Coturnix japonica: one gene and its partners. Each later gene encodes a partner of the first gene's protein in a complex. Links are inferred from orthologs where the notes say so. Each region holds a gene or a part of one and is shown in the gene's direction. Other genes may lie near its edges. The genes, in order: ARID1B, SMARCC1, DPF3, SMARCD1, SMARCD3, PHF10 and SMARCC2.

The links.
Region 2: ARID1B (region 1) and SMARCC1 share a complex: the UniProt entries of both Homo sapiens proteins name them as parts of the neuron-specific chromatin remodeling complex. The link is inferred for Coturnix japonica from reciprocal best matches to the Homo sapiens genes ARID1B and SMARCC1.
Region 3: ARID1B (region 1) and DPF3 share a complex: the UniProt entries of both Homo sapiens proteins name them as parts of the neuron-specific chromatin remodeling complex. The link is inferred for Coturnix japonica from reciprocal best matches to the Homo sapiens genes ARID1B and DPF3.
Region 4: ARID1B (region 1) and SMARCD1 share a complex: the UniProt entries of both Homo sapiens proteins name them as parts of the neuron-specific chromatin remodeling complex. The link is inferred for Coturnix japonica from reciprocal best matches to the Homo sapiens genes ARID1B and SMARCD1.
Region 5: ARID1B (region 1) and SMARCD3 share a complex: the UniProt entries of both Homo sapiens proteins name them as parts of the neuron-specific chromatin remodeling complex. The link is inferred for Coturnix japonica from reciprocal best matches to the Homo sapiens genes ARID1B and SMARCD3.
Region 6: ARID1B (region 1) and PHF10 share a complex: the UniProt entries of both Homo sapiens proteins name them as parts of the neural progenitors-specific chromatin remodeling complex. The link is inferred for Coturnix japonica from reciprocal best matches to the Homo sapiens genes ARID1B and PHF10.
Region 7: ARID1B (region 1) and SMARCC2 share a complex: the UniProt entries of both Homo sapiens proteins name them as parts of the neuron-specific chromatin remodeling complex. The link is inferred for Coturnix japonica from reciprocal best matches to the Homo sapiens genes ARID1B and SMARCC2.

What each region holds. Positions count from the first base shown.
Region 1 is NC_029518.1:46,525,795-46,529,803, forward strand, and holds part of ARID1B (AT-rich interactive domain-containing protein 1B), read left to right. Parts: coding exon 1-538; intron 539-1,423; coding exon 1,424-1,554; intron 1,555-3,518; coding exon 3,519-4,009. UniProt on the Homo sapiens protein: Involved in transcriptional activation and repression of select genes by chromatin remodeling (alteration of DNA-nucleosome topology).
Region 2 is NC_029517.1:723,724-727,759, forward strand, and holds part of SMARCC1 (SWI/SNF complex subunit SMARCC1), read left to right. Parts: intron 1-805; coding exon 806-959; intron 960-1,607; coding exon 1,608-1,721; intron 1,722-2,149; coding exon 2,150-2,209; intron 2,210-4,036. UniProt on the Homo sapiens protein: Involved in transcriptional activation and repression of select genes by chromatin remodeling (alteration of DNA-nucleosome topology).
Region 3 is NC_029520.1:23,819,076-23,823,111, forward strand, and holds part of DPF3 (zinc finger protein DPF3), read left to right. Parts: intron 1-1,527; coding exon 1,528-1,688; intron 1,689-4,036. UniProt on the Homo sapiens protein: Belongs to the neuron-specific chromatin remodeling complex (nBAF complex).
Region 4 is NC_029544.1:347,698-352,180, reverse strand, and holds the start of SMARCD1 (SWI/SNF-related matrix-associated actin-dependent regulator of chromatin subfamily D member 1), read left to right. Parts: upstream 1-1,391; 5' UTR 1,392-1,427; coding exon 1,428-1,595; intron 1,596-1,715; coding exon 1,716-1,903; intron 1,904-3,073; coding exon 3,074-3,116; intron 3,117-3,213; coding exon 3,214-3,336; intron 3,337-3,605; coding exon 3,606-3,734; intron 3,735-4,221; coding exon 4,222-4,338; intron 4,339-4,483. UniProt on the Homo sapiens protein: Involved in transcriptional activation and repression of select genes by chromatin remodeling (alteration of DNA-nucleosome topology).
Region 5 is NC_029517.1:52,877-56,912, reverse strand, and holds part of SMARCD3 (SWI/SNF-related matrix-associated actin-dependent regulator of chromatin subfamily D member 3), read left to right. Parts: intron 1-1,826; coding exon 1,827-1,949; intron 1,950-3,299; coding exon 3,300-3,401; intron 3,402-3,499; coding exon 3,500-3,553; 3' UTR 3,554-4,036. UniProt on the Homo sapiens protein: Involved in transcriptional activation and repression of select genes by chromatin remodeling (alteration of DNA-nucleosome topology).
Region 6 is NC_029518.1:36,960,128-36,964,163, forward strand, and holds part of PHF10 (PHD finger protein 10), read left to right. Parts: intron 1-368; coding exon 369-452; intron 453-1,798; coding exon 1,799-1,932; intron 1,933-2,046; coding exon 2,047-2,196; intron 2,197-3,065; coding exon 3,066-3,175; intron 3,176-3,922; coding exon 3,923-4,036. UniProt on the Homo sapiens protein: Involved in transcription activity regulation by chromatin remodeling. Belongs to the neural progenitors-specific chromatin remodeling complex (npBAF complex) and is required for the proliferation of neural progenitors.
Region 7 is NC_029544.1:895,502-900,070, reverse strand, and holds the start of SMARCC2 (SWI/SNF complex subunit SMARCC2), read left to right. Parts: upstream 1-1,416; 5' UTR 1,417-1,460; coding exon 1,461-1,571; intron 1,572-1,654; coding exon 1,655-1,774; intron 1,775-3,890; exon of another isoform or gene 3,891-3,896; coding exon 3,897-3,982; intron 3,983-4,256; coding exon 4,257-4,338; intron 4,339-4,419; coding exon 4,420-4,512; intron 4,513-4,569. Other genes in the region: RNF41 (E3 ubiquitin-protein ligase NRDP1), read left to right, coding at 1-2. UniProt on the Homo sapiens protein: Involved in transcriptional activation and repression of select genes by chromatin remodeling (alteration of DNA-nucleosome topology).

The sequences.
Region 1 (4,009 bases):
TCATCCTCCAGTGAAGGTCCTCAGCAGAACATGTGGCCAACACGAAACGATATGCCTTACCCTTACCAGAATAGGCAAGGTCCAGGAGGCCCTGCACAGGCCCCACCGTATCCAGGGATGAATCGCACTGATGATATGATGGTACCTGACCAGAGGATAAACCACGAGAGTCAGTGGCCTTCTCATGTCAACCAACGTCAGCCTTCTTATATGTCATCTTCAGCCTCCATGCAGCCTATCACTAGGCCTCCTCAGTCATCCTACCAGACACCACCCTCTATGCCAAATCACATCTCTAGAGCTCCAAGTCCAGCATCCTTCCAGCGCTCTTTGGAAAACCGTATGTCTCCAAGCAAGTCTCCTTTCCTACCCTCCATGAAGATGCAAAAGGTTATACCCACAGTTCCAGTGTCACAGGTCACAGGACCTCCACCCCAACCACCACCGATTAGGCGAGAAATTACCTTCCCCCCAGGCTCTGTAGAAGCATCGCAGCCAGTCTTAAAACCAAGGCGAAAGATTACCTCAAAAGATATTGGTAAGTACAGAAACAAAAGCGAAATGCTTTTGGGAGCAAGGTTGGGAGAAAGGATCTTTGGTTTTTGTTTTCCTTTACTTGTTAAGACTGCTTTGACAAGTAATTAACTTTGGTAGCTATTATGTGTTCACTAAAAATGCAATAGAATATGAATCAGTGAGGATGACAAATCTCATACCAGCAAGTTCAACACCATATGAAATCAGTTTTCTGTATGGAGACCTGAGTTCTCAAAAAGTGCAATATTACATTAAAAATAAAGCTTGTCTGGGCTTCCAAATGCTATTTGTTGAAAGATCCACCAGAATGTCTGTTAAATCACTGGTGCAGTGTTTAGGTGAGCAAAGATTTCCACATTCTTGTTCCATGGAAGCTCACAACAGAGCTATTGCTCTGTGCCCTTACAGTGTCTGCCTAAGTAAGGCGGAATGGCCCGTTTTTTCATGCCATATTATTTGCCACTTCTGTTTCTCTCCAAATTCTTTCCTAAGTATCTTCTTATCTTGAATTCCTGTTATATTTCACATGTTCCAGTTCCCATACCTCAGGTTCCCATATTCATGACAGAATATTCTACTTGCATTTATGTATTGTTTGTTATAGCCAGCTTCTTAAAAGTTTGTAAGATGATTTCTTCAGCAGGGTCAAGAAGAATGGCCCCATTAAAATGCTCTCCAGAATTAGCACTAAGTAAGAGAGAAAAACATAACGGAGCTAAGTGGTGAAACCAGGGTCTTAAGCAGTGTTTCAGTAATTATTCAGTAACTATTTCCTATATATTTTGCATCCTCAGAACATCACAGTTTATTCTTTCAAAACATCGCAAGTCTTCAACTCTCATAGGTTGCACTAATACTGTTTTATGCTTATCTTTTCTTTCTCCAGTAACTCCTGAGGCCTGGAGAGTGATGATGTCTCTTAAATCTGGTCTTTTGGCTGAAAGTACCTGGGCGCTAGACACTATTAATATTCTTCTATATGATGATAGCACTGTCGCTACTTTCAACCTCTCTCAGGTAGGTGGGAAAGCAGAGTACCTCTAAGCTTTCCAAGGAAAGAAAACACTAAGAAAATAGATATGAAAATGCTGAAGTCTCTTAAAATATGTTAACGTAAGTCAGAATATTGCAAAACTTCAATTTGTAATTTGATAACAGTGAGTAACAAAATGTACTTAAGGGTGGAATTGGGGAAATAATAAGCTTAAAAGGAGAGCAGCTTTTGTGGAAAGGAATACATAGGAATGTAAGAGTGTTAACACTGGCAGAAGACTAATGTGTAAATTCACATTTGTTGTTGAACAAGGATAATCCCAGAAAATAGCATTGTTAGTAATTTCACATAAAAAACATTCCAAAAAAGTCATTGCAGAATGATGTTAGATTTGAGACTGTCTTTCAGTTGCTATTTGTCTTATTCACTAGTCCTTATACTCGGCTGTGAGATATTTTGTTGGGGTTTTTTTGTTCCTTCTACCCACAAAGTAAGCTTGTACAAAACTAGTAGGTTTATCAAACAATTAAAAGGCTAAAATCCACTGTCTGCACACAGGATAGTAGCATACAGTTTAACAGTGTATGCTTTTGCCTCTCTCCCTCCCAGCATTTTTCAGCCCTGCTCTACCTATCAGCCTGTTAGATGGTTGTTATAGATGGCGTTCTGGTAATGCCATCTAATGGAGTTTCTCTGCTCCACTCACTCCCTGGCTACTAATAGTGTAACTCATCTTTTTTAAAATATAATGACCTTTTTTTTAAAAAAAAAATTAAAAAAAAATAAAAAGGCACAGATTATACGTTTCATTCCACCTAACTTTAGAACTAGGGATATCTGTAGCATAATTCATCTCATCCTAAAGTAGAGATCTAAAATAGGTCAGATGAATCATACCCTGGAAATGGCCTTGAAAAGATCACTGATTATAAAAAGAATCTAGATGATTAGGCTTGTAACTGTTGCAGGTGTTTGGAATTAAGGGAGATGAATCTCCTGAATTCTGTAGAGACTGCATTAATACACCTTGTGCAAATTGCACAGAATACCAGATCATTTTAGATTTTAGAGGTTGCTTTTGCTTTGAACTTGATTTCTAGTGTCAGTCAGGACTCCATATGACAATCGATAATTCCCACTGTTTATAAGCATCTGTTTGTTCTCATTTCTTTGGGATTTTTGGCAATGGTATGAATACAGAATGGGTGAAAGGATGCATTTTGCAAAATATCTGTTAGCCCACAATTAAAACAACCATTAAAAGGCAGACAATTGGGCTGAATGTATCATATCAGTAAAGAGATTTTAATAATAAAGCAACTGAGGGTAAATTAGTATCGAGTCCAACTACTGCCTTTCTGTGAGAAAGTGATTACCAGTTAATTAAGAGGATTAAAGCTAAATGAAAACTGTTTCTGAAGGATGACTTACACCACTGGGCTCTAATGACAATTTTGAAATACCATCACACAAAAAGAGAGTCATACCAGTAGAGATGGATTACTAATCTGGGATATCAGTACCTCGAACCTGAACTGTGTATTCTAACAGAACAGATGGTTTTAGAGACTGAGAGACAAAGGAAGAGATAAAGAATTGTCAACTTCCAGAGTCTAATAAATGTACAATTCAGAAAAGCAAAGAGGGTTAGAAACTTCAGTACTCTGAAGAAACAATAAAGTATATTAGGCACATCCCAGGATGGAACAGCTAGGCTAAAAAGTAGCTAAGGTGCTAGTGCATAAGAAGAAAAGTACTGTACTTTTCATAGCTGTTAGGTTTTAAGCAAATGGAATCGTGGTGGTCTGGTGTTACATACTGATTAGACAGACACTAGAAAAATTTCATTTGATTAGCTTCTGCCATGCAGGGACCTAGCCACAAGTCCACAGCAAAAGGCAGGAAGTTGTACAATTTAGTGTTCCGTATGAAATTTCATGCAGTCAAAAATATTTGTTTTTTATGTTGTTTTTTTTTCTCCCCTTAGTTGTCTGGATTTCTTGAGCTTTTAGTAGAATATTTTAGAAAATGCCTGATTGACATTTTTGGAATCCTCATGGAATATGAAGTGGGAGATCCAGGTCACAAAGCACTTGATCACAAATCAGCCAAGAAAGATGATAGCCAGTCCTTGGCAGAGGATACTGGAAAAGAGGAGAGTGACGAATGTATTGACTGTTTCGATGAAGAGGAGGAGGAGGGGGAGGATGAAAACGTAGAAGGAGAAGAAAAGAGCATTGTTTTTTCCACTCCTGGTGCCATTGCTGATCCAAGTGAAAGGCCAAAACAAGCCAGTAAATTTGACAAGCTGCCAATAAAGATTGTAAAGAAAAATAATCTATTTGTTGTTGACCGATCTGACAAACTTGGACGCGTTCAGGAATTTGATAGTGGACTTCTCCACTGGCAGCTTGGTGGTGGCGACACAACTGAGCATATCCAGACTCACTTTGAAAGCAAGATGGAGATTCCTCCGCG
Region 2 (4,036 bases), on another chromosome or scaffold:
AGCCAGTGCTTGCATTAGAAGAAAAGGAAATAGCGCGGCTTTGGTAATGGAAATGCTCTGGTAGGCAGGATAGGTGTGGGTAGCGGAATCAATTGAGTTTGAAGAGGCCATTTAAGGTCATCTAGTCCAGTTCCCCTGCACTGAACAGGGGCACTACAGCTGGCTCAAGTTGCTCAGAGCCCATCCAGCCTGGCCCATCCATCCAGTAGCCATTGTGCTGTCACTTTAGCAGTCTGTTCAGCCTCCTCTTGTAACCAGAGTATGTTATACTGTCCTTTATTTATGGAGTTCTGGGTGCTCGGTGAACCTACAGAGTTGGGGTCTTAACCTTTAGTGTCTGCTCTTTATTAAGCGTGTGGAGTTCATTTCAGAGTTCCTGGGTCTGCAGTTCAGTTTGGTTGGTTTGCTGTGTTTCACCAGATTTAAGTTGTGAGGTGCAGCAGAGCCCTGAAATCTCAGAACTTGCTGATGGTAGATCCAATATGAACAGCTACAGGTGGGTGAGAGAAGAAAGGGGTTGTGCAGCCCTCACATTGGTATGATGTCTGCAGATGGCTCCACATATGCAGCCTGAGCTTTACTTCATCTTTAAATAGATTTCCTGTTGTTCTGTTCCCGTGCTATATGCTAGGTGTCATGCTGGAGAGGTAATCAAGTCCACACAGTATGCCATATTTATTGCTCTTGTGATCAGTGAAGGTCTGTAGGAGGTGATGAGCCAATCTGATCCAAAACCAACCATTCCTTGGCTGTCTTTGCAGTCTTGCTTTGTTTCTTAAGATGTGGGTTTGTCCTGTTGTTTCAGAGTGCACGCTTTTCTGGAGCAGTGGGGTCTCATCAACTACCAGGTGGACCCGGAGAGCCGCCCCATGGCCATGGGCCCTCCTCCCACCCCTCACTTCAACGTGCTGGCCGATACACCCTCCGGCCTCATGCCTCTGCACATCCGTACCCCACAGGTGAGCCCTGCAGTGCCCTGGGGGTGGGAGGTGGCAGCTCTGGTCAGTGTCGTGCAGGAGAGTCTGCACATGTTGCTCATGGAAGGTGTTCATGAGTTCAGAATGGGTCAGTTGAGTCATATCGTATCATATCATAGACTGGCCTGGGCTGAAAAGGCCCACAGTGCTCATCGCATTCCAACCCCCTGCTGTGTGCAGGGTCAGCAACCAGCAGCCCAGGCTGCCCAGAGCCACATCCAGCCTGGCCTTGAATGCCTGCAGGGATGGGGCATCCACAGCCTCCTTGGGCAACCTGTTCCAGTGCATCACCACCCTCTGGGTGAAAAGCTTCCTCCTAAGATCCAACCTAAACCTCCCCTGTCTCAGTTTAAAACCATTCCTCCTTGTCTTATCGCTGCCCACCCTCACAAAAAGCCATTCCCCCTCCTGTTTATACACTCCCTTCAAGTACTGGAAGGCTGCAGTGAGGTCTCCGTGGAGCCTCCTCTCCTGAATCAGATCCGCACTGATGCTGTGTAAAGACATCTCCATAACTCATCATGTTGAGCTGTTTTGTTGGTTCTGTGTTGTGCTCAACCTTTGTCTGTAAACTTGGGGGATCCCTTTCAGCTCCTGACACTCCGTCCTTCCTTTCATGTTTGCTCACAGATCCCAGCTGCTCAGCAGATGCTGAGTTTTCCTGAGAAGAACAAAGAGAAACCCACTGACCTGCAGAACTTTGGGCTGCGCACAGATATTTACTCAAAAAAGACCTTAGCAAAGGTAAGTGCGTTTGGATTTCTGTTCCCCTGTGGCTTCTATTAAGTGGGTTCTATCAGTTGTCCTCCTCCAGATGACAGTGAAATGACTCGTTACTCTCAGATTCCCACTTCAGTTCTCACTGGAGGACACTGAGATGCCTCGCTGTATTCATGTTGGGTAAACAGTTTTGAAGGAGAGGACCACGTGCCTGTCCCAAACTACTCAGTGCTGTCAGTCTACAGACACTGAATTTGTGTTATCCTTATTTGATATTTTAATTGAATGCTTCGAAGTCAGCCAGGTGTCAAATAATTCAGTACAGAACCAAGAATCTTTCAGCAGAATCTTGAGTATAGAACTCAGGATCTGTCAGCAAAGTGCAATGTCTGGCACTTGGGCTGGAGGAATCCCAGTCATGAATACAATTGTGTTTTCCTCATCTTTTATAGAGTAAAGGTGCCAGTGCTGGAAGAGAATGGACGGAGCAGGAGACGCTGCTGCTGTTAGAAGTAAGTTCCTGGGGGAAAATGTAAGGCCAGGAGACAAAACCATGTAGGATTTTATACAGTAAGGAAAATGGACACGGAGGTTTAGTGGGTTCTTTTGAAGTCGGGGCAGATGGCAACAACATCCTTTTTGCTGCAGTTCTGAGACCCGGCAGACGTAGCTGGAGGGATGGGTGGTGGAGCTGTGTGTGCACGAGGCTGCCTGCTGCTGCTGTGCCTTTGGAGCTGGTAAAAGGCTGGGGCTCTCCCTTGAAGCTGTATCTCTTTCTTTGTCCGTCATCTCTACCAGAGCGCTGCTGCTACACAGATAGAGTGGAAGCATCTTGTACTGAGGGGACATTATGTTCTTTAAGGTTCACTTCTATCTGATTGTAGCTACAGCCCAGGAATTAAATGCTTAGATATGTTTGCACAGAGTCGAGAGCAGGTCTTGCAATGCAGGGAGGTCTTTGCATTGAGCAGCAGTTAGCAGCACACTGTGCCCTTCAAGGAATGGTTTATCTGCATGTAAGAACATGGAGAAGTTCTCTTGATCTTTCCAGGCTCTCCAATAAGCCATAACATGTTACAGGGAGCTGCAAACAGCCGCTCTGGAAGTTGAATTATTTAACACGCAGATTGTTTTCCTGTGCTCTGCCTCTTAATAAAGGAAGCTTTTAATTTGGTAGCCCTTGCATCCAGCACGTTAATTCATTCCAGGTGTGGCTGTCAGTCTGCACACTGCTCCATTCGGCCTGGGGAAGGACTTTGCTTATGGGGGAGAACAGTGAGGATGTGCTGTTCTGGCAGGGCTAATCTCAATGTGCTGCCTTCTTTTACTCCTGTTCCTGATAGGAAATGCTGGTGCCTCACACACAGCAAGCAGCCACCTCATGAAGTAATCCAGGCAGCATATTCATTTTTCTTTTAGGAAAACAAACAAAGCCTTGAGATTGCAAATGTATTTAATGCGAGTTTCAATTATTAATGTTCCTCATTCTTTGTGGATTTAACCTATGAATTAATCAGTACAGAGAGAATATCAGTTCAAGCGTAAGTAATGCAGCTGTAACGAGGCAGCTTGGTCCAATTAAATCCTCGGGGCGGCTTTGGGCAAATATCTGTGTGGTGCAGTTCCAAAGAGCAAATGGTACCTAAAATAGTCATCTCAAATAATGCCCATCCTTCCTCCTGTTGGCTGAGCAATGGGAGGGGTTGGCTTTCCCTGCCTGCCCCACTGCTCTGCCCCTCCGTGGTGTTCCAGAGCTCTCAGCTATTCCTAATAGGACTACAGAAATCTACCAGGGAGTGAAGGAGAATGAGTAGAAACCTTTCACGTGGCTGCAGGACGCAGCACTCGATCTGATGTGCTGAGTGGCTGCAGTGGGGATGTGATGACACGTGGTGGGATGGATTTAGGGAATGTGTGATGCTGAATGTGGGGTAAATGCTTCCCCACGAGTCTGACCCAGTGAATTGAGCAGTGTCACATTGCTTTAAACACTGCAGCAAGGGAGGCAGGAGGCTGGGGGAGCAGATCCTGAGCAGCTTGGGATCCTCAGTTCCAGAGGAGCTTGTCTGAACCAAATCCTTCTTCTGCTGGGCTTTTAAAGCCCCTCCTCTCATCTGCCCTGTGGGCTGCAAGGTCTTGTGCTGTTCTTTCCCCCCAGCTCAGCTCAGCTGGAGCACAGCTTCCCTGGGCAGGGGTGGCCCATCTCACCTCGGCACTGAGTTGCCTGCTATGCTGGGCATGGTGGTGATGGGCTGACCCAGACGTGGTGACCTCAGAGGGCTGTTCTTACCTTAACCAGTCTGTGCTCCTGCTCGCTTAGGGAAGCTCAGATGTCATGG
Region 3 (4,036 bases), on another chromosome or scaffold:
CCACAGTTTAGGTGTGAAAAACAAAGGTGGGTTTAAGTCAGTTGAATACATTTGCAGAAGAAAGATTCATTAAATCTTTTAACATTATCCATGACTGGGTAACCTGAGATTTGGAAACTGGTTATCAAAAAATGAGAAGGAGGAGCCAGAGATGTCTGCCTGTTTTTTTTGTTCTTCAGTAAGTTTCTGATATCACCCCATGTCAACAAGAAAATACTACACCGTTACAGCCCATGGGGAAAGAGTACTGCTCCCATGAAAGTCATGAGGTGAAAATGACAAGTGACATAAAAAAAGGAGTATCAGGCTGTCAGATACAGAAAAATAGTGATTTGCACCAATCTGGCATCTTAAAATGGCAGTTGTGCCTATACAAGAGGGTAGTAGATAAACAACTAACAGAACAGCAAAGGGAGCCTCTTTTACCTTTGTGCGTGCATCCCTCCAGCTCCCTTGCTGTGTGTTATACTCTTTTTGCACACTAATGAATGTTGGAGTCAGAGCAAGTTAAGCTGTATCTCATTCTGCTCCTATTTTCTAATGAACTTACCCCTGATGGGTAGCTTTCCTAGCTATTCATGTCACGACTGAATTTCACCTTGACAGTAGATCAAGAATGAGGTTTCAGCAGTGTGGCCCACCTACTTTGCAGTGCTCCAGCATGACAGCTGCTTTGTGTCCTTAGGGTAGCTCTACTTTGATGCTTTTCCCTGTTTAGAACAATTTGGAGGGAGGATTTTGGTAATCTCCAGCAGGCAGTTTTCAAACCTTTCTCAGGGGAATATGAAGATTCGTCAGAATTTTTGAACCAATATTTATGAAACAAGTGACATTGTCTTTAGCATGGTTCTTCCCACTGAGCTCCAGAACAAAGGATTTGCCATGCTGCATCCTACCAACTGCTATTGTAGCTTGCTGCTGTTGGTGCCTTAAACCCGACTGTGGAAAACTCTGGAATGGTAGAGAGAAAACTAGTGTAAGCATTGCAAACATGGCTCAAGCTATTAACATGTGTGTTTTCACGACTCTGAAACACACAATATGAGGACTGTGTCTTTTGCTCTTCCAGGTTCTTTGGACTAAGAAATGCTGGATTGAAGTTGTAAACCTGTCTGGCTTTTTGGTTGCACACAATACTGCAGGAGTTGCTATAGCACAAAATTGACATGTGTGGTGTGCTGACTTGGCTGGGCAAACTACTGGGGAAGAGAGACAATAGAATGAGGTCACTGCTGTGTACATGGTGCCTGGCCCTGGGTCGGGAGCCAGTGTGGTTATACCATGTGCTCATTCAGTAACAATGCCTTCTGAAAAGATCTGTGTCTGGTTTCTAAAGAGTATCATCCTTTGACAGTTTCTGCATGATCTGCTTTGGTAGTGTGTGGTGTCAGTCAGCTTTTCACGTGTTCAGGGGAAGTTTTTCTGGTTGCCTATTTGAATAAGACAACCATATATGCCCGCCTTTTCCTAGTCTTGTTTAAGGAGAAGAGCAACCTTTTCTAATCTCCGCTCTGTCTCTTTTGGCAGGCTTGGGGACCAGTTCTACAAAGAAGCAATTGAGCACTGTCGCAGCTACAACTCTCGGCTGTGTGCTGAGCGGAGCGTTCGCCTTCCCTTCCTGGACTCGCAGACTGGGGTTGCTCAGAACAACTGCTACATCTGGATGGAGAAGCGGCACAGGGGACCAGGTTGGTAGCATTGTGTCTGCATGTGCGTGCACATGTCTGGAGGTCTGGCCACTGAGCCCTCATGGGATTTAATTAATAGGAACTCAAACCTGCTACAGGCCATGCAGAAGAGAAACTGCCTAAACCTCTGTGCCTGCAGGGGATTTCCTTTGGTAACTGCAGAGAGCTGATCCTAATTATTCTCTCTCTACCCGAAGAAGTGCCTGACATGGTAGTTTCTAAGGCTGTATCACTGTAGCTCTTCTAATGCTATTGATCCCAGTCTGTAGAAGGCACAATACCCTGCTCTGTAAGCAGGATTGAAATTATGTTCAGGGTGGAGAAGCAGAGGTGAAAGTCTTAGGTGAATGGTGAATATAAGGGGTTGTATCGGGCAGTATTTACAGTGGAGGTGAAATACAGGAGAGTCAAACTTCTGGAATGAATGTTGTTCTGATGATTATAAATGTAAGTATAACTTCTAGTTCTGTTCTGGACAAGTTTGGATATCAGCTCTGGAGCCTCAGTTTCCTTAGCTGCAGAAAAAAATTGGTATGCATCCTCAAATACCTTTGGCTAAGTTCTTGTCCAGAGGGGGAAAGACCACTGTTATTTTAATAGGCTTTGATCAGTCCTTCCTTCATTAGAGTGTAAATCCATCTGAAATGCTTGTTTTGAAAGCAGAGGACAATCACCAGTTCAGAGGCTTGATGTTACTTAAACAGAACTCCTGAAACCCAGTGAGAATTTTGCTAGAGTGTGGCTCAGTATCTGATCCACAGTTAGCACAGGCATGGATTTTCTGACAATACAGGAGTGGATTTGTGTTTCCCCCGCTTCTCCCCTCCCAATGTGCGTACTGGAGAATCCAGGCAGGAAAGAGTCAATTGTGCTCAGACACTGACCATGTGCACATATCCCTGTCAATTCCTGTAAACCATACTGAAAAAAAGAAAAGAAAAAAATCCAGACCTGTAACTGTGTGTAGGTGCAGGCTGCTGTTACCTCCTCCACTGGCTACCTTGCAGCAGCTGTAGCAGGAGGAACACAAATGTTATTTGCCTCCCCTCCTGTGAGCAGACTAGGAAATCAATTGATGCCTCTGAAGGGTGCTTATCTGAAACGCTTCCTAGGATAGGAGGGGGCATATCTTTACATTGCTTCTATTCCTAAAAAACTCAAAGTAGGTGTGGTGTGGTCTTGCAGTACCGCCAGAAAACTGTAGTAAAATGCAGCCACTTCTGTTGCAGGAGACAGCAGGTGTTTCACCAACATTAAATATATCCTAAGAATATTTCAACTGCCGAAACTACTCCAGTAATCTGAGATGCTAAATGTGGTTTGTGACCACGTTTTTTATTTTCTTTCTAATGTAAAACCTCCTAATTCCTAAGAGATTGTTAGCTTTTGCAAAGCTAGCTTTCCTTTTTTTTCTTTTTCTTCTTTTTGGCTAATCAGTTTGGCTGTGCAATTTCTGTTCTTGTAACATCAAGTTATGAGCAAGATGCTGTTTTTTAATCCTTGTAAACTCAGTAATAAACATGTATACATCCACTATATACACAAATGATGTCTTGGCAAGAGCACTTGCTACAAACTAAGCAAACGTAGTCTTGTATGGGTCTCATTGGTGTCTCTGCATTTATGGAGGAAATCATCCTAAAAGAGTTACAGCATCACACCAGGAGCCAAGAGCTCTGTCACTGGCTCTATGGATGACCTTTGGCAAATGCACTGAGCAAATCTTTTTGTTCACTTCTGTTACTGAACTTTCCTGTGGTTTCCCCTGCAAAAGAGTCAGTGGCTCCAGTGGGAACTAATGGCAGAACATTCCTCATAGAGAGTCTTAAGCGAATCAGGCTTTCTGCACTTGTTTCAGCCACCAAATCTGATGTCTTTGTTATTTTAAATTAGAATAATAAGTGCAAAATGAAGCAGCCCTCCTCCCCCATATTTGCTCTGCTCTTTCTTGATTTTTATTAGTCCCTTTAGTGCTCCCTTGGGTCTCTTTGCATCATCTATTTCTTGTAGTATTGTTATGGTGGGTCAAAGCATCCTTGTTTAGTTTTAGTGTCCTTGTTTTCAGGCTATACACATTGTACTTATGCTCATACTGAACATCTTCAAAAATTTGTTACCAGCACACAAGATGGATACTAAGGTGGCTATGTTCATTGCCATTTACTATCTGTAACCTGAAAAACTGTATAAAGACAAATGGCAAAGATCCAGGAACCATTTTCTTTTACAGAGAGTTTGAAAAACAGAGGAGAGTTGGGATCTCAGTGTATTAACCTGGTTTCTCACTGTCCTCTTTGTTAAGGGAGTCAGAAAACTGCACTTCATGATAAACAGTTCAGGGTTAATTT
Region 4 (4,483 bases), on another chromosome or scaffold:
CCCACAGCTCTTAAGTGTGGGTTGGATGAGTGGACAAGGGCTGAGCTGTGAGAAAGGAGCTCTGCAAAAAAAGACGTGGGTCTCTTGGTGGCCAACGGGGTAACCATGAGCCAGGAGTGTGACAAGAAGGCTAATGATACCCTGGGGTGCACTGCACAGAGCCTGGCCAGCAGGGTGATGGAGGGAGGTGCACCTCCCCTCTGCTCTGCCCTGGGGAGGCCACAACTGGAGCACTGGGCTCAGTGCTGGGCTCCCCAGTTCCAGGCAGACAGGGAACTGCTGCTGGAGAGAGACCATTTCTCAGCTCAGCCCTTCCTTATTTCTATATCCCTCCCAGCCACTTCCTAACTCTGTCCAAAGGCTCCTGCCGGGCTTTAAGCCTCACTTGAAGTTGCTGCATCTGAACAATACGGAGCAGATAAGTTCCACCGCTTCTCCTCACCATGAATATTTCATCAGGCAGCCAGGCGCCAAGGCTGTGTTGGAGGTGGCATTACATTAACTGCACGGACACACGGATGCTGAGACAACAGCTAATGGCTGTGCTCACGGCATCGTGTTTTCTATCGAGGTCAAGAAACACTGAATTTGGTGGAAAAGATGCCAACAACTCCCCACTTTTCTCCTCAGTCAACAATGCCATGCACTGTACAGGACAGCTTCCTAAATGGCCTGTGATTATCATTAATTGCTTAATTAATACTTGCGGTGTGGCTGCTCTCTTGGATTTTATTCATGGATTAATGCAGGCTGGATGCAGGTCCCTCTGCTCTATGAGCAACCACACGGATGAGTGCCCTGGGGACAAGGAAAGTAATGCTAATACTTGCAAAAAGCGGCCTTTAATTCAGCGCTGTGCCTTCTACTGAGGGAGGGAGGAATCCTCCTCCAAGCATCCCCAGCCCTAAGCAAAGCAGCCCCAAACACGAGCACAGAGCACCTGTAAGAACAGGGGACCCCCACCCCAACTCAGTCACAGCATCGAGGCTTAATGAGCACCATCCTCCAGCACCTTGCACCCTCAAAACACTTTCCTATGGTCCATGCATGTCCCCAGGACGCAGCCCCTTCCCACACATCCCCCCCTGCAAATACCCCATCCCATCCATGGTCTCTGAAACCCCCAAACCCAACACCATCCCATAGCCCTCTCCAAGTCCTCTACCCCCACCCACAGCCCTCCCCACGCTCTACACCCCCCACCCCCACCCCAGAACCTTGCCATACTCCCCCAGGCCCCTATTCCCCCACAGTAGTGAACCTTAAACCCACCCACGACCCCCTCCCCACCCACTACTTCCCACCCCCCGCAGTTCCTCCCGCCGGCAGGGGGCGCTCTCTGCAGCCGTTGCCGCTCTAGGCCGCTGTCCGCGCTCTCTCTATGTCAGAGCTCCGGTTCCGGCCCGCTCCTCTTTGTGCTGGACAAGATGGCGGCGCGGGCGGGCTTCCAGTCAGTGACTCCCAGCGGTGGAGGCGGCGGGGCCGCTACCGGGACCGGAGCGCTGGGTCCGGGCACACCAGGCGGACCGGTGCGCATGGGCCCAGCCCCGGGACAGGGCTTGTACCGCTCACCTCTACCAGGGGCCGCCTACCCGGTGAGGCAGGGGAGGGGCCGCTGCGGGGCGGGGCGGGAGGGAGTGGGGGCGGCGGGGCCGAGGACGGGGCCGGCTTCCCCCCGGGTGGGCATTGGAACGGCTTTTTTCTTCCCCTTGCAGCGCCCTGGGATGTTACCGGGCAGCCGTTTGGCACCGCAAGGCCCCTCTATGGGGCCGCCCGGGTACGGTGGGAGCCCGGCAGTGAGGCCCGGTATGGCGCAGGCCGGCCTGGATCAGGCCCGTAAGAGACCAGCGCCGCAGCAACTGCAGCAGGTTCAGCCTCAGGCGGTGCCCAACCGCAACCACAAGTAAGAACCGGGGGTGCTGGGGGGCTCAGGGAATAGACGGTGCGGGGGGGGGGGGGGGGGATCAGGGCATCCTTGGCCATCCTTAGAGCTGTGAGTGGGGGGAGGAGCTCGGGTCATTCATAGGATAACTATGGGGTAGAAAGGCTCTGGGGACATCGTTGGGTGTCCTCTTGGCAACAGGGGGGTTCTCAGGGCAATGGGTGTCCAAAGGATGCTGCCAGGGCAGTGGGAGGCTTAGGATATCCTTGGGTATCCTTGAAATAGGAAGGGTTCCTGGAGCAGATGAGGGTCCCAGATCTTCCCTGTGCTCCTCCAGGGCAGGGGAGGGAACAGTGAAGGTCTCAAAATGTCCCTTGGGCATCCTCAGAGCAGCAGGGGTCCTGAGGACATCCCTGGGATGGCAGATGAGTCTTGGGCATATCCTTGGGCATTCCTATGGCAACAGGGTTCCTCAGGACACCCCGAGGGCAAAGAGGAGTCTCAGGGCATCCTTGGGTCCAAGGGGTCTTCGAGGTATCTCTGTGCATCACCAGAGCATTGAGGGTGCTCAGGGCATCCCCAGGTGGACGTGGACACATTGCTTCTCTCCTCATGAAGCCCCATGGGACGAGATCTGTGTATCAGGGTGAGGGCAGGCATCACTGAGCTGCAGGCTCTCTCTGAAGGGGTCAGCACTGACTTGGTGTCATCTGCTGGCTGCTCAGAGCAGCACAAAGCTTTTCTGTGTGCAGAGCCAGGCCTGGGCCTCTCATTGCTGCTTTTTTTTTGTTGGGTGGCTGAAAGAAACTTTGATGTTCTCGTGCAGCTTCGTCTCTGGTAGAGGGGAATTTCCAGCAGATAAAAAAGTAATGTGCAACTGCTGGACAAGAGCAAGTTAATGTTCAGTTTCTGATAGTACAATGTGATGCCTTGGTAACGTTGGTAATGCATCTCTGAGTCTCCTAGAAAAGTCTGTCTAAAGCACATTGAGCCATAAGGCTTCCTTTCCAATGATGCAGCCTTGCTTTCATTGCTTTCCTTGGGGATGTATTAAGGCGATCAGCTGCTGCAGGGCTGAGAGCATTGCTGATGCCCTGGTCCTAAAACACAAACCTCATCTCGCTCCTTTTGTGAACGTCCAGTGTTAATTAGCAGAATGGTTGCCATTTTAATGCTCTCCTTACTTTACAGTGCTAAAAAGAAGAAGATGGCAGACAAAATTCTACCTCAGAGGGTGAGTGGCATGTGCAGTTGACAGCCTCTGCTGATATGGAGATGTGGGGGAACTGACAGTGATTTGCATTCTTGATTGGCTCGTGTTCTGCTTGTAGATCCGTGAACTTGTGCCTGAGTCTCAAGCTTATATGGACCTGCTGGCCTTTGAAAGGAAATTGGACCAGACGATCATGAGGAAACGCTTGGATATCCAGGAGGCTTTGAAACGACCCATTAAGGTAGGAGAGGGACATTCAGAGACTTACTGTTATCAGAAGAGTAGGAGGGCTTTGAAGGTTGTGTCATAACCCTATAAGCATAGAGAGAACTGTAATGCCCAGGACTTAAGTGGGGGGGTAGAACCAAGACTGCCTCTCTCTGTGCTGTTTGTCCTGAGAGTGGATGTATGAGGAAAAGAAGAATATTTAGCTTAGTTTTAACAAAACATAAGCATGATTCTCATCCCTTTGCTTCTGAATGAATACTGAGCTGATGCTTTTTCTTGTAGCAAAAGCGAAAGCTACGTATTTTTATCTCCAATACCTTCAATCCAGCCAAGTCGGATGCAGAGGATGGTGAAGGAACAGTGGCCTCCTGGGAGCTTCGAGTAGAAGGAAGGCTGCTAGAAGATGTGAGTGTAAGGCACCCAACTGCAGAGCTGATTTGATGGGTCTGGAATTGGAAATTGAACCAGTTTCTTAGTGTCTGGGAGTGTAGCTAAGGGCTTGATATCCTCCTTCATCTCTGTTTTCCAAGGAGTCTGATGGTGACGAGACCGAGAGCCCAACTCGGAGACCGATGGGTATCCCCATGGCAGAACATGAGTTATACAAAGTTCTTATAGCTATAAGAATTAATGGTGAGAGCCGATCAGTAGCACTTGTGTACCCTGGCTCTTAGAACCAGGGCACTCGCATTTTATGTAATTGCTGAGTAAGTTAATTCCTCCAAGCTCATCTTTATCTCCAGTCTTTCACCATTTTTGACTTGGAACTTGATTTTCGAGCATGTGTTGATGAATGTAAGTGTTCACAACTTAAAGGAACACTGCTGTGCACCTTGCCTGTGCTTGAGTCCTGGAACTTGCTCTCCTGACTCTCTCTTCCTTCCTGTGTTGCTTGCAGTCTGCTTTGTCCAAATACGATGCCACCAAACAGAAAAGAAAGTTCTCATCCTTCTTTAAATCTCTGGTCATTGAACTTGATAAAGACCTCTATGGCCCTGACAATCACCTGGTAGAGGTGAGCTTGCTTCTTTTTGCTGTATTATCTCTACAAATGGGTTGTTGTTCCAGCAGATTGAATTTGTGTGTAGTTGGTAACTTGTGAAGTGGGATATTTAAGGCTTTAACAAGTGGCTAGGTGCCAGGGCTGAATTCTCTTGAAT
Region 5 (4,036 bases), on another chromosome or scaffold:
AACTGGTAACCCCTTCGTAGAAGGAGATGAAGTTGGTCAAGCGTGACCGACCTTTCATGAACCTGTGCTGGCTGGTCCTGATCCCCTGGACTTCGTGCACATGCCGTATGATCTCACCCAAGATGATTTGCTCCATAACTTTCCCTGGTACTGAGGTCAGGCTGACAGGCCTGTAGTTCCCCAGATAAAGAAAGATTAATACTGTAGTTTAAATGATGGATGGCATGTTTTGAGCTATAAGAGTCTCAAGGACAGACATTTATTGAGGCATTAATAGTGGTGATAAATAAATTGGGAAGGAAAAATAATTTGCTTTAGATTTATGCTAATGAAAAAGAGAATCATAGAATTACCCAGGTTGGAAAAGACCTCGAAGATCATCAAGTCCAACCACAGCCTAACCATAGTACCCTAGCTCTAACTACCCTCTGCTAAATCATATCACCGAGCACCACATGAGAAGGAGGCAAGGAGCTGAGTTAACGCTTGGATAGGTTGAAGGAAGCAGTCTTTTGCAGAGTATGAACAGAGATGAGTGAACCAAAGACTTTAGGAACAGCTGGGCTGGTAACACTGACACAACTTCCAAGTGAGTTGACCAGGGTGCTTATATTTTCACAGAATCATAGAATCACAAGGTTGGAAAGGACCAAGATCATCCAAGTCCAACCATCCTCCCACTACCATTACTACTGCAAGCCACTAAACCATATCTTGTAGCTCCTCATCCAGACACCTCTTGAACACTGCACTCCACTTTTTACTGTGGAAGAAAAAGAAATAAAAAAAAAAAAAAAGCTAAAATGTTGGGACTGTCTGGGTAAATAGATATTCTGCATTACATTTAGTTTTTGAACAATTTTAAATCTCTTTTACACTGTATACACATGATACAACTGATCAGATAGCAAATGTCTGCTCTTGGATGAGATGAATTATTCTATGGTCTCTTCTGTGTGACTGTATTGTCACGATCTCTTTTGACTGTAGAGAGAACTTATAAATGCAGAAATATTTAGAAGTCCAGATATAGTTGTTCTGCCCTAGGTAATTTTCCAGAATGAGTGCCTCCTATAAAATTTGCAGAGATAATAAACTCAGAATTCCTGCTCAGCACTGCTCTTTTTTAGTGTATTCAAGAATCTATAAACTTTTATTGAGATGTCATGAAGTATTGCTAAATTTCTATGTAGGAAAGCTAAGATAATCCCATATTTCTTATGTGTGCTGTATATGCACGATTGCAGAGCAGCTTGATGCGCTGAGAGCAACAGTAGAAAATGAATGGCAGAAAAATAACTTGGAACTGTTTGGCAGAATTGTATCCTGTTTTATTAGATGAGAATTATGCACAAGCACAGCAGTTAGAGCTGGCTGACAGGTACATACATAATGATAACTAACCTGAGAAATAACTGCTTTCTTGCATTGGAAAAACATACAGCATTGTACTGTTTAAAAACATACAGTACCTTAACTGAAAAATCCTTGACTTGGTGAAAAGACTGCTTATACACAAGAAATCATTACATTAGAGCAAGACTTGGCTCTTCAGTATTGTATATATGTGCCATCCAACAGTTCAATGCAGGAAGTGAAGAATATGCTTGTATTGCAGAAATACATGTGAAATCAAGATGTAATTTCAAGATGAGGGTTAACTCCTACTTTGAAGGGAAAATTCAGTGGGATCATTCATGGGTCTTTGGTGTACAACTGTCATCTTTGCATGTTACAAGAACCGCAAAGACACTAATGAGGCTGGCCTCAGGACCGTGGAAGCCTGGGAGGAATTAAGTAACATCTAGCTTATTTTTTTCTGTTAGATCCATGAGACCATCGAATCCATCAACCAGCTGAAGACACAGCGTGATTTCATGCTGAGCTTCTCCAAAGATCCCAAAGGATACATCCAAGACCTTCTCCGGTCCCAAAGCAGGGATCTTAAGGTGAGCTACGATTTGAAGAGTGGGCAAGAGTATAATGACTACAGTTAAATGTGTATAGCATGTATTGCTAAAATGTCCAGGATAGAAAATTGGTAGAAAAGAAGAAGACAGACAAGTGTAACACTGCTATCCTAGAGCAGAAAATATACAGGAAAGACCAGTTAGGTTATATTACACTCCCAGAATAGGGACTAGGTGAACTTTTTATTAGAAAGCAAAATGGAGGTGCAAGGATATGTTGATGTACTTGTAAGGCGGAATAATACAAAAGATAGTAATAATACAAGGATGGTGATAGAAATCCAAAAGGATATATATAGGAAAGACTCACCAACACAGATGCCTACAGTCCAGCTGGAAAAATGCTGAGGCTGACAATGGAGGAACAATCTCAAAGATATACTGCCTTAGTGGTGGTCAGCCCTTAAATGAAGTCTAGGAGAGGTGGAGTCAAGCTCCACCTGAATTACCCTCACCTGTGCTCCCACAGCTGACCCGACACTTGCCTCAGCTGATTAATAAGAGGTTCAGGCTGTGATTACCAGTTTCCCATACAGTACTCAATAAAATTAAAGGTATATGAAACTTAGTAGGAGGATTCTGTAGCACAGTAACACAATTTGAATGCTTTGTTATTTTTCATAATTAAATCTTGTTTAAGAAATAGCAGATTAAATATCATCTGCCTTTTAGCTAAGCATTTAAATTTCCAAGAAATGGAATGTAAGGAAGTTCAGGTGTTTGCCAGCAAAATAAGAGTTTGTTTCTCACAATGTTTCGCACTTTGAATCTTTAAATCAGACACCTCAAAACCAGTTATATCAATAAAGCGGTGAAATTATTTTAATGGATTGTCCTTCAAATATAAACATCTACTTTGTTAATCAATAATCTTCCAAAGATCTATTGTTAATATTCTGATTATTATTTATATTCAAGAGGGGAATAGATATATAAGGGAATGTTCAAAAATACCTTCAGCTTGAAGAGCTTATGAACTAAGGTATTGTGGAGCTTCTGTAGCTGCATACATAGAGCATTTGTTCAGTGTTCTCCCTGCTGTTAAGACATCAGAGATCTATAGTACTTAGCTTGGGCAGCTGAATTACTCCTTAGCATAGCTCTGGAGCAGAGGTTAGGAGCTGTTCACAATTTGCATATTACTGTCATGTACTGGCGGTAACCACACATGCCATTCATGCCATTCATTTTTCATTTGCCTTGGGCTTAGAGGTCAGTCTGGAATATTTTTAAACTAGCATTGCAGATAAATTTTGATCCCAGGTAAATCTAATATTTCTCTACATGTTAAAGTAGCTGTAGTGAAAAGTATTTTTATTTTTGTCACAGGTGATGACTGATGTAGTTGGAAATCCAGAAGAAGAACGCAGAGCTGAATTTTATCATGAGCCATGGTCTCAAGAGGCTGTGAGCAGATATTTCTACTGCAAGGTATGATGGAGTTAGCCACACTAATAACTCATAAGTGAATCTTTCTGTCACTGAACAATTGAATCTGCTGAACTGTACAGTTTTTCTTTTTCTTTCAGATTCAGCAGCGCCGACAGGAACTGGAACAGTCTCTGGGAGTGCGCAACACATAAGTATTGCTCAAAACATCACATTGGCATCATGACCACAGAACAAGTGGACTTCCCAGTGTTACTTTGCTCACTGTTACACATGGACCTGCTTCCTAACTGGATGGGAATGTACCATCAACAAACCAGTCAGAACACCAGCTTTAGAGTGACCCTTGAAAACAGCGCCCATGGGAGGTGTCTCAGATCATTCCAGGCCATAGATAGCAGAAGATTGCCATGCTTTATACAGGTGTCAGTGATAAAGAAGATTAAAGATTAATTCATCAACTTGCACCATTGACTTCTAGTGGAAAGTTCAGACACTATGCAGCAAATCCTTATGGGCTATGCATAGAATCATGGATAGTATTGATGGGGGAGGTTGAGCTGAGTGTTATAAAAGACTACAGATTTAGAGAAATAAAGGTAATGCTCATCCTGTGTTACCTAAGAGTTGCAAATAGTAACTTCTCTGGAACTAGACAAGATAGCCCTGATAGTTAA
Region 6 (4,036 bases), about 9.6 Mb from region 1:
CAAAAGTGAATCTCTATTCTGTATGTTCAACTTTGTGATTTTGTTACTGGCTTTTTGAAAATATATCCTACAGATTTCAAGTAGGAATTCTATGTAATTTAAGACTTTTCAGTCTTGCCACTGAAAAATCTATACAAAAGAATGAATTGAGTGTTAGATCAGTAAGTAGCTTTTGAAGACTGACCCCAGCTTAATTCCAAAGTATTTAGTTGGTGATTTCTTACTGTAAAGCTGGCCTTGTGTTTGTATTTCATTTCCTGTATGGTGCAGACTCATTACCTGAAAATTCTCAAAATGCTTTAACATTATTTATGGGGGATTTTGAGTAACTTTATATGCTTTTGTTGCTGTTTTTTGTTACCCCTAAGATCTGGAACGACGAGATCTGTCTCACAAGGAGAAACTCTACCTCAGAGAACTAAATGTTATCACGGAGACTCAATGCACGTTAGGTAAGAGAAGAATAAGATTCCTCGCTAAAGTATAAAAAATGACCCACTGAAAATGTGATTCAGTTTTGGTAGAGAAGTCACTTGCAAATGAAAATGTAAATTCTGACCTGAAAACTAGTTTATATTTTTGTTTATGTAAACTGGCCAAAGGATATCAATGCTCAATATTGATCATAAAAACATACATTTTAATTTTGTTCCAATTTCTTAGTAAAACCTATGTTGTAAATTGGCTTTTAGAGCCTTTTTCTCCTTAACAGAAAAAGAACAGCATGATTTTTTAAACTAAAACTCCATCTGTATTTTTGGCTGAATTTGTAGTGACTCAGCAAACGTTAGTGTATTCCATGGAATTGAGCTTATGTCTTAGATGTCAGAAGGGTGAATATTAAGCCACTTAAATGCATATGCAATAGAACATTGTCATTAATGCAATTTATATTGGAAGAGTTTCAAGTGTTTGTTCTTCCTCTGCTAGTATGTGTGACTTGGAGTGTGTTAAAAATTAAAGGATGCCTGTCACTTTTTTTTTTCCCAGTGTACCCATGGATCTGTGCAGATGTTAATTACATTACTTTATAAATTAACAGTCCTTGGTACACTGCCTTTGTTTCTCAGCTGCCAGCTCTCTTGAAAGTTTTACTTAAATATGCAGGATATACCCGTATCTAATTTTTATCAGTAGAAGCAAAATGCTATATTCTATCTCAGATATACAACAGAGGCATGTGGTGCATCAGCTGTCCCTGTGATAACATACGCCAACTTCTGTCCTGTTGTAAACAGTATTAGTTTCATTGGAATCTTTTGAAGAGATGTTCTGCGTGACTTGATAGCTGCAAAATGACATGTTCTGACTTTTGAACTTGAAATACTTTAATCAGGAATCAGGCATCTGTCTGCAGTTTGCTGCTCTGAATTGACCTCACAGTGATTCTTTTTTGATTTGTACAGAGAACCTGACCTTGAAATTAAAATAGTGTGAGGCAGTGAAACTGGCCATTCACCAGTACAAGAAACTGAAACAAACATCACCAGGTCCTGCTTTCAGCAGAAGTTCTGCCTCTTAGGGAAGTTTAGTAGGTGACAGTCACTGTGAAGATGAAGTTTAGCTTCTGTAGTTGTAAGCAAGGGAAGAATCTTTCCTCCTTGGGAAGAAGCAAAACCTTAATCAGCCTCAAAAGCTAAATGTCATAAGTTCACTCCTATGTGACAGAGGGTGAAGTGTCGTGCATTGTAGGTTATTGTCTTCAGCTGCTCAAAAACTTCACTTGATGATTGTTTGATATAAATAACCCACGGTTGGTTTTGCCAGGTAGCATCATTATTGCTTTTATCTATTTTAGGTCTAACAGCTTTGCGTAGTGATGAAGTAATTGATCTTATGATTAAAGAATACCCTGCCAAACATGCTGAGTATTCTGTTATACTGCAAGAGAAAGAACGTCAGCGAATAACAGATCATTACAAAGAGTACTCTGTAAGTAAATAGAATATGTTAAGTGAACCAGATCTGTAGCATGGAAGATAAAAACAAATGTTCGCAAACTGGTGGTGAAATGTGTGTAAGTTAATAAGATTGTTTTTGTTTCAGCAAATGCAGCAGCAGAACACACAGAAAGTAGAAGCCAGTAAAGTTCCAGAATATATTAAAAAAGCTGCCAAGAAGGCTGCAGAATTCAACAGCAATTTAAACCGAGAGCGAATGGAAGAAAGAAGAGCCTATTTTGATTTACAGACACATGTAGGCAAACTATATTTTTTTATCAATGTTGAAAGGTAGATCTTCGTTTTAGTAAGGGTGTTTCTTAGAACCTTTCTAACAATCTTACCATTCAGGGGGTTCATTAGTCTCATTTTAGAGACATATGGACTTTTAAGAAGCTTCTGTTATATCTGTTGATATATATGGCCAGTTCTCTTTTGGAACGCTTCTAAAATTCTCTCTGAACAATCTATTTACTTAAAAGTTAAGCTGTTTATCTGAAAGAATGCTTTGAATCGAACTTTATGCCCTTATTTTTGTTAGATGCTACATATGTTATCGAATATATATGTAATATATTATGGAAAGGTGACATCTTCCTGACAGTGATACATTAGAAACAAGATGGTGGGTAATTAATTTGACTCATTTCTAAGGAAAGAAGGCTTCTTTAAGATTCTTTTTCCCTGTATTTGTGTTATTTGTGGGATTTTTTAGTGGCACAGTCTGATTTTTGGCATTAGATGGCAGTGTTGTTGCTACCCTCTACCAGTATGGACCCACAATAATAATTAACATCAAAGATACTTCTCACAGAAGTTTACGATTACTGCTTCAATTGCTAGATTTTTATTTTTAAATTATTTTACATACTGTACTATTAGAAACAGTCTTCTTTCAATTCATCAAGCACATCCTGATTAGACTTAAATCTGTAATACTGTTTTACGAGTGGGATCTCTCGTCATTTTAGTGAGTTGAATTTTCCATGGGAGAGCTCAGGTAGCTGTTCTAATTGAGTAAAAGGCATAAACTGGCACACGCATAAATATTTTCAGGAAATGGAGGGTAAGGAAAGCTTAAAAGTTTACAAAACAAGAACTTCATTGTTTTGTGTTAAACAACAGATTATCCAGGTGCCTCAAGGAAAATACAAAATCTTGCCTACGGAGAGAACAAAGGTTAGTCCTTATCCAGTGGCTCTCATACCCGGCCAGTTCCAGGAGTATTACAAAAGGTATTTTAAAAGCATTGCAGCTGCTGTTTCTTTTGAACTGATCTCTACATCTAGCTCGTGGAAAACATTTGAGTATATTTGCAGCAGAGTTTTGAATTACTCTTATGCTTGAGGCCCTCGCTAGTCTAATAAATGTGCTGCAGCATGGGGGCTTTTGTCAACATCATGTATGTAGCACTTGCTGCTAGAGTGTCTCCTTCTCTGATGTACTGTGGTGCCTGAATTTGGTCTGTTCAGATAATCTGGTTAGATCTTGACATTATCCTGTAGTTATTTTTATTTGCAATTTTTCCCCCTTCAGTAATCATGAAACTTGATCTGGAATCTATCATCTTTACTTATTTTGCTTTGGACCCCAGCCGTTTGTGTGTTGTGGGTTAGAACTGATGCTGTGTACTTCTATAAACAAAGTATATGGTTTGTTGGCATGGATTGATCAAAAATTTGTAGGCATTCAGGTATTTTATGATTGCTCAGGTTTGCAACATTGCAAATATACTCTTCCTGTGTTCCACGAATATCTACCTACACAAAGATGACAAGTACTAAACAGTGTAACATTTGTGGGGATAACTCCGTAAGTTTCCTATATTTTGAGAAGTGCATGTCTATATGTGCTTCCCTTAAGAGGAGGGTTGGAATTATTTACATTTCTTACTCTTTCTCTCTAATTCTCATACATATTTTGTGAGTAATATCTACGCATAAAGCGCACAGGCATTCATTTATTTATTTTACTACCTTCAGATATTCTCCAGATGAACTTCGTTACTTACCATTAAACACAGCTCTTTACGAACCCCCTTTGGATCCAGAGCTGCCTGCATTAGACAGTGACGGGGATTCAGATGATGCAGAGGA
Region 7 (4,569 bases), on another chromosome or scaffold:
AAATGGACGTTGGAAGAAGCGATGCTTTGTGCTGAGGAGGGGGCTGGGACCGAGGCCTGGGGTGGATGCTGCCAATGGCCGGGCTCTGCTCACAGCTGGATGAAACGATTCCATGTCCCCCCCCCTTCCCCCCAAGTCCCCCTTATAACCGCTGCATCCACCCCAGCCCACCCCCCATTTGCCCCCTGCAGCTCCATATCCCCACTTGGTGTCTTCAGAGGGGGCAGAGGAGGCACAGCTGCACCCCGGGTACTGCTGGGCTGCTGCCCCATGGACTTCCAGCCCCATGGACTTCCAGCCCCATGGGCTTCCAGCCCCACGGATGCTCACGCTGTGCCTGCAGCCCCCCCGGCTGCCTCCCTTGTGCTCTCTGCCCTATGCTGCCTGTGTCTGTCCCAGGGGGCCAGGCCTGGCCTCCCTCTCCCCATTTAACCCTAAAGGCAGAGCTGGGCATTTATGGGCGAGGGGGAGCCAATGAGGGGGGGGGGTGGGGGGAGCAGGGAGGGGGTCTGGCACCACCCTGGGGGGCAATAGGAGCCCCCTCTGCCCCACTGCTGTTCCTCTGCAGCCACTCGTGCTCGTGGTTCTGTATTATTTTGTACTACTCAGCCTTCCCCCACCCCTCCATTCTTACCCCCCCCCTCCATTCTCCTCCCCCCCCCTTTGATTTTGGAGTGCCACCGATGGCTTCATACCCCCCCTTACCCCCCCCCATTCACCCTATGGGACTTTAATTTATTCTCATTCGTTACGTTGGTTTTTTTTACGGTCCTCCCCCCCCCTTCCCCCTATTTTCCGCTGTCTGTACGATGCGGTTCCGGGTCTCCCCCCCCCTTGTTGGTGGGGGGGGGGGGGGGGGGGGCGTTCAGCGATCAATAAAAACGGCTGTTCTGGTTTCTGTAGCGAAGCTGTGGCTGCTCTAGGAGGGGTCGGGGGGGGGGTCACACTAAAAGGGGCCGAGCCTTTCTGAACTGCTCCGTGTTATACAGAGTCCCACATTAAAAAGGGACCCCCCCCCCATTAAAAGATAAAGCTCCGTCACGGACAGGATTCGAACCTGCGCAGGGAAACCCTATTGGATTTCGAGTCCAACGCCTTCACCTCTCGGCCACCGTGACTTCAGCGCCTCCCTCATCCGCGCTCCGCCTAGACCCGGCACACCGCCCCCATCCATCGGGTCCTCCGTGCCGCCAGGGGGCGCTGTGTTCACTCATCTCCATTCGGCCTGCAGGGGGCGCTGTGCACACTCACCCCTGTTCTGCCCGCAGGGGGCGCCGTCCTGCAGTACCCTTCATTACCGGCAGGGGGCGCCGTCCCGCAGTTCCCTTCATTACCGGCAGGGGGCGCCGTCCCGCAGTACCCTTCATTACCGGCAGGGGGCGCCGTCCTGCAGTACCCCTCGTTACCGGCAGGGGGCGCTGCGTCACGTCACGGCGGGGAGCGGCCCGGCCCGCTGGAAGATGGCGGTGCGGAAGAAGGACGGCGGCCCCAACGTCAAATATTACGAGGCCTCGGACACCGTCAGTCAATTCGACAACGTCCGCCTTTGGTTGGGCAAGAACTACAAGAAGGTACGGATCGTTCGGGATCCCTCATAGGCCTCACGGCTCCGCTTTACACGGAGCCAGGCCCGAGGCTGAGCCCCCTCCCGCAGTACATCCAGGCCGAGCCCCCCACCAACAAATCGCTGTCGAGTCTCGTGGTTCAACTGCTGCAGTTCCAGGAGGAAGTGTTCGGGAAGCACGTCAGCAACGCGCCGCTCACCAAACTGCCGGTGCGTGACTGGGCCGGGCGGACAAAGGGACCCGCAAACCCCGCAACCCCCCCCAGGGACACCCCAGGACCTGCACGACCCGGCCCCGTAATGCCCTGGGTTGGGGGGGACACATGGGACCCCCCCCCCTCCCTTTGGAGGGGTCTTTGTAAGACCCCCCCGGCCCCAAATGGCCCAGCTGGGGTGGAGGGGACACATGGGGACCCTCCCCCTTCCCAACCCCCCCACCCCCTTTGGAGGGGTCTTTGCAAGACCCGAGGCACCCCCGGACCCGCAAGGCCCGGCCCCGTAATGCCCTGGGTTGGGGGGGACACATGGGACCCTCCCCTTTCCCAACCCCCCCACCCCCTTTGGAGGGGTCTTCCCCACCCCCATCCCTTTGGGGAGGTCTTTGCGAGACCCCCCCGGTTCCAAATGGCCCAGCTGGGGGGGGGGGGGGACACATGGGGACCCCCCCCCTTCCCAACCCCCCCACCCCCTTTGGAGGGGTCTTTGCGAGACCCCCCCGGCCCCAAATGTGGGATGACACGTGGGGACCCTCCTCTTCCCCCCCCCCCTCCTTTAGGAGGGTCTTTGTGAGACCCCCCCGGACCCGCAGGGCCCGGCCCCGTAATGCCCTGGGTTGGGGGGGACACGTGGGACCCCCCCCCCCCTTTGGAGGGGTCTTTGTGAGACCCCCCCGGCCCTGCAATGCCTTGGTGTTGGGGGGGACACATAGGGACCCTCCTCTTCCCCACCCCCGTTCCTTTGGGGTTGTCTTTGCGAGACCCCCCTGGCCCCAAATGGCCCAGCTGGGTGGGGAGGACATAGGGACCCTCCCCCTTCCCACCCCCATCCCTTTGAGGGGGTCTCTGTGAGACCCCCCAGGCCCCAAATGTGGGATGACACATAGGGACCCTCCTCTTCCCCCCCCCCCCTCCTATAGGGGGGTCTTTGTGAGACCCCCCCGGTCCCATAATACCTTGGTGTTGGGGGAGATACATGGGACCCTCCCCTTCCCCCCCCCCCCCCCTATAGGGGGGTCTTTGTGAGACCCCCCCGGTCCCATAATACCTTGGTGTTGGGGGAGATACATGGGACCCTCCCCTTCCCCACCCCCCACCCCCTTTGGAGGGGTCTTCCCCACCCCCATCCCTTTGGGGAGGTCTTTACGAGACCCCCCCGGCCCCGCAATGCCTTGGTGTTGGGGGGGACACATGGGGACACCCCCCACCCCCCACCCCGTTTGGAGGGGTCTTTGCAAGACCCGAGACACCCCCGGACCCGCAATGCCCTGGGTTGGGGGGGACACATGGGAACCCACCCCCCCACCCCCCTTTGGGGAGGTCTTTGCGAGACCCCCCCGGCCCCAAATGGCCCAGCTGGGGGGGGGGCACATGGGGACCCTCCCCTTTCCCAACCCCCCAACCCCCTTTGGAGGGGTCTTTGAAAGACCTGAGACACCCCCGGACCCGCACGGCCCGGCCCCGTAATGCCCTGGGTTGGGGGGGACACATGGGACCCTCCCCCTTCCCAACCCCCCACCCCCTTTGGAAGGGTCTTTGCGAGACCCCCCCGGCCCTTGGTGTGGGGGAACACATGGGGACCCACCCCCCCACCCCCCTTTGGGGAGGTCTTTGCGAGACCCCTCCAGCCCCAAATGGCCCAGCTGGGGGGGACACACATAGGGACCCTCTTCTTCCCCCCCCCCCCTCCTTTAGGGGGGTCTTTGTGAGACCCCCCCGGTCCTGCAATGCCTTGGTGGGGGGGGGACACATGGGACCCTCCCCCTTCCCACCCCCCACCCCCTTTGGAGGGGTCTTTGCGAGAGCCCCCCAGGCCCCACACGGCCCAGCTGGGAGGGATGGACACATGGGGACCCTCCTCTTCCCCACTCCCATCCCTTTGGGGGGCTCTTTGGGGCTGGGGTTGGGCGGGGGGGTTGTTGGGGTGGTCGCCCCCATGGCATGGAGCAGGGACAGCAATGGGGACAATAGGGAGAAGGGATGAGTCCCAGTGCTGCCCGCTGTGGGGCATTGCCTGCTATGTATGGGGTATTGCCTGCTGTGGGGCACTGCCCGCTGTGGGGTATTGCCCGCTGTGGGGCAGCCCCCCCCCCGAGTCCTCCCATCCCCTTTTCCAGATCAAATGCTTCCTGGATTTCAAGGCGGGGGGAGCCCTGTGCCACATCTTGGCGGCTGCTTATAAGTTCAAGAGCGACCAAGGATGGTGAGCGGCATCATAGGGAGGATGGGATGGAATTAAGGGTGGTGGTGGGGTTGGGAGGGGGGAGGCAGAGATTTGTCTGCTCTATGGGGCACAATGGGGGCGGTTACAGCCCTGGGTTGGGCAGTGTGTTGGCTGCCCATCTGTGGGTCACAGCCCCATACACAGATCCCTGTTGGGGTGTCCCCCCACCCCCCTTTAATGGGTAAAATGGGGCTGAGTGATGAGGAGACCTGAGCTGTGGCTTTCATGAGAGTCGCTCTTTTCTTCCAATAAGGCGGCGTTTCGATTTCCAGAATCCCTCGCGGATGGATCGCAACGTGGAGATGTTTATGACCATCGAGAAATCCCTGGTGCAGGTGGGAGCTGCTTCCCTCCCCTCCTCCCCACCTCCTCTATTTGTTCCCAGCTCTGTTTAATCCTTTGCTTTCCTTCCCCAGAACAACTGCCTGTCCCGGCCCAACATCTTCCTGCACCAGGAGATTGAGCCCAAGCTGCTGAGTAAACTGAAGGACATTATTAAGAGGCACCAGGTGGCTTTTTGTATTGGGGGATATTGGGTCCCATTCAATGCTTCCTGCTGGTGCTCA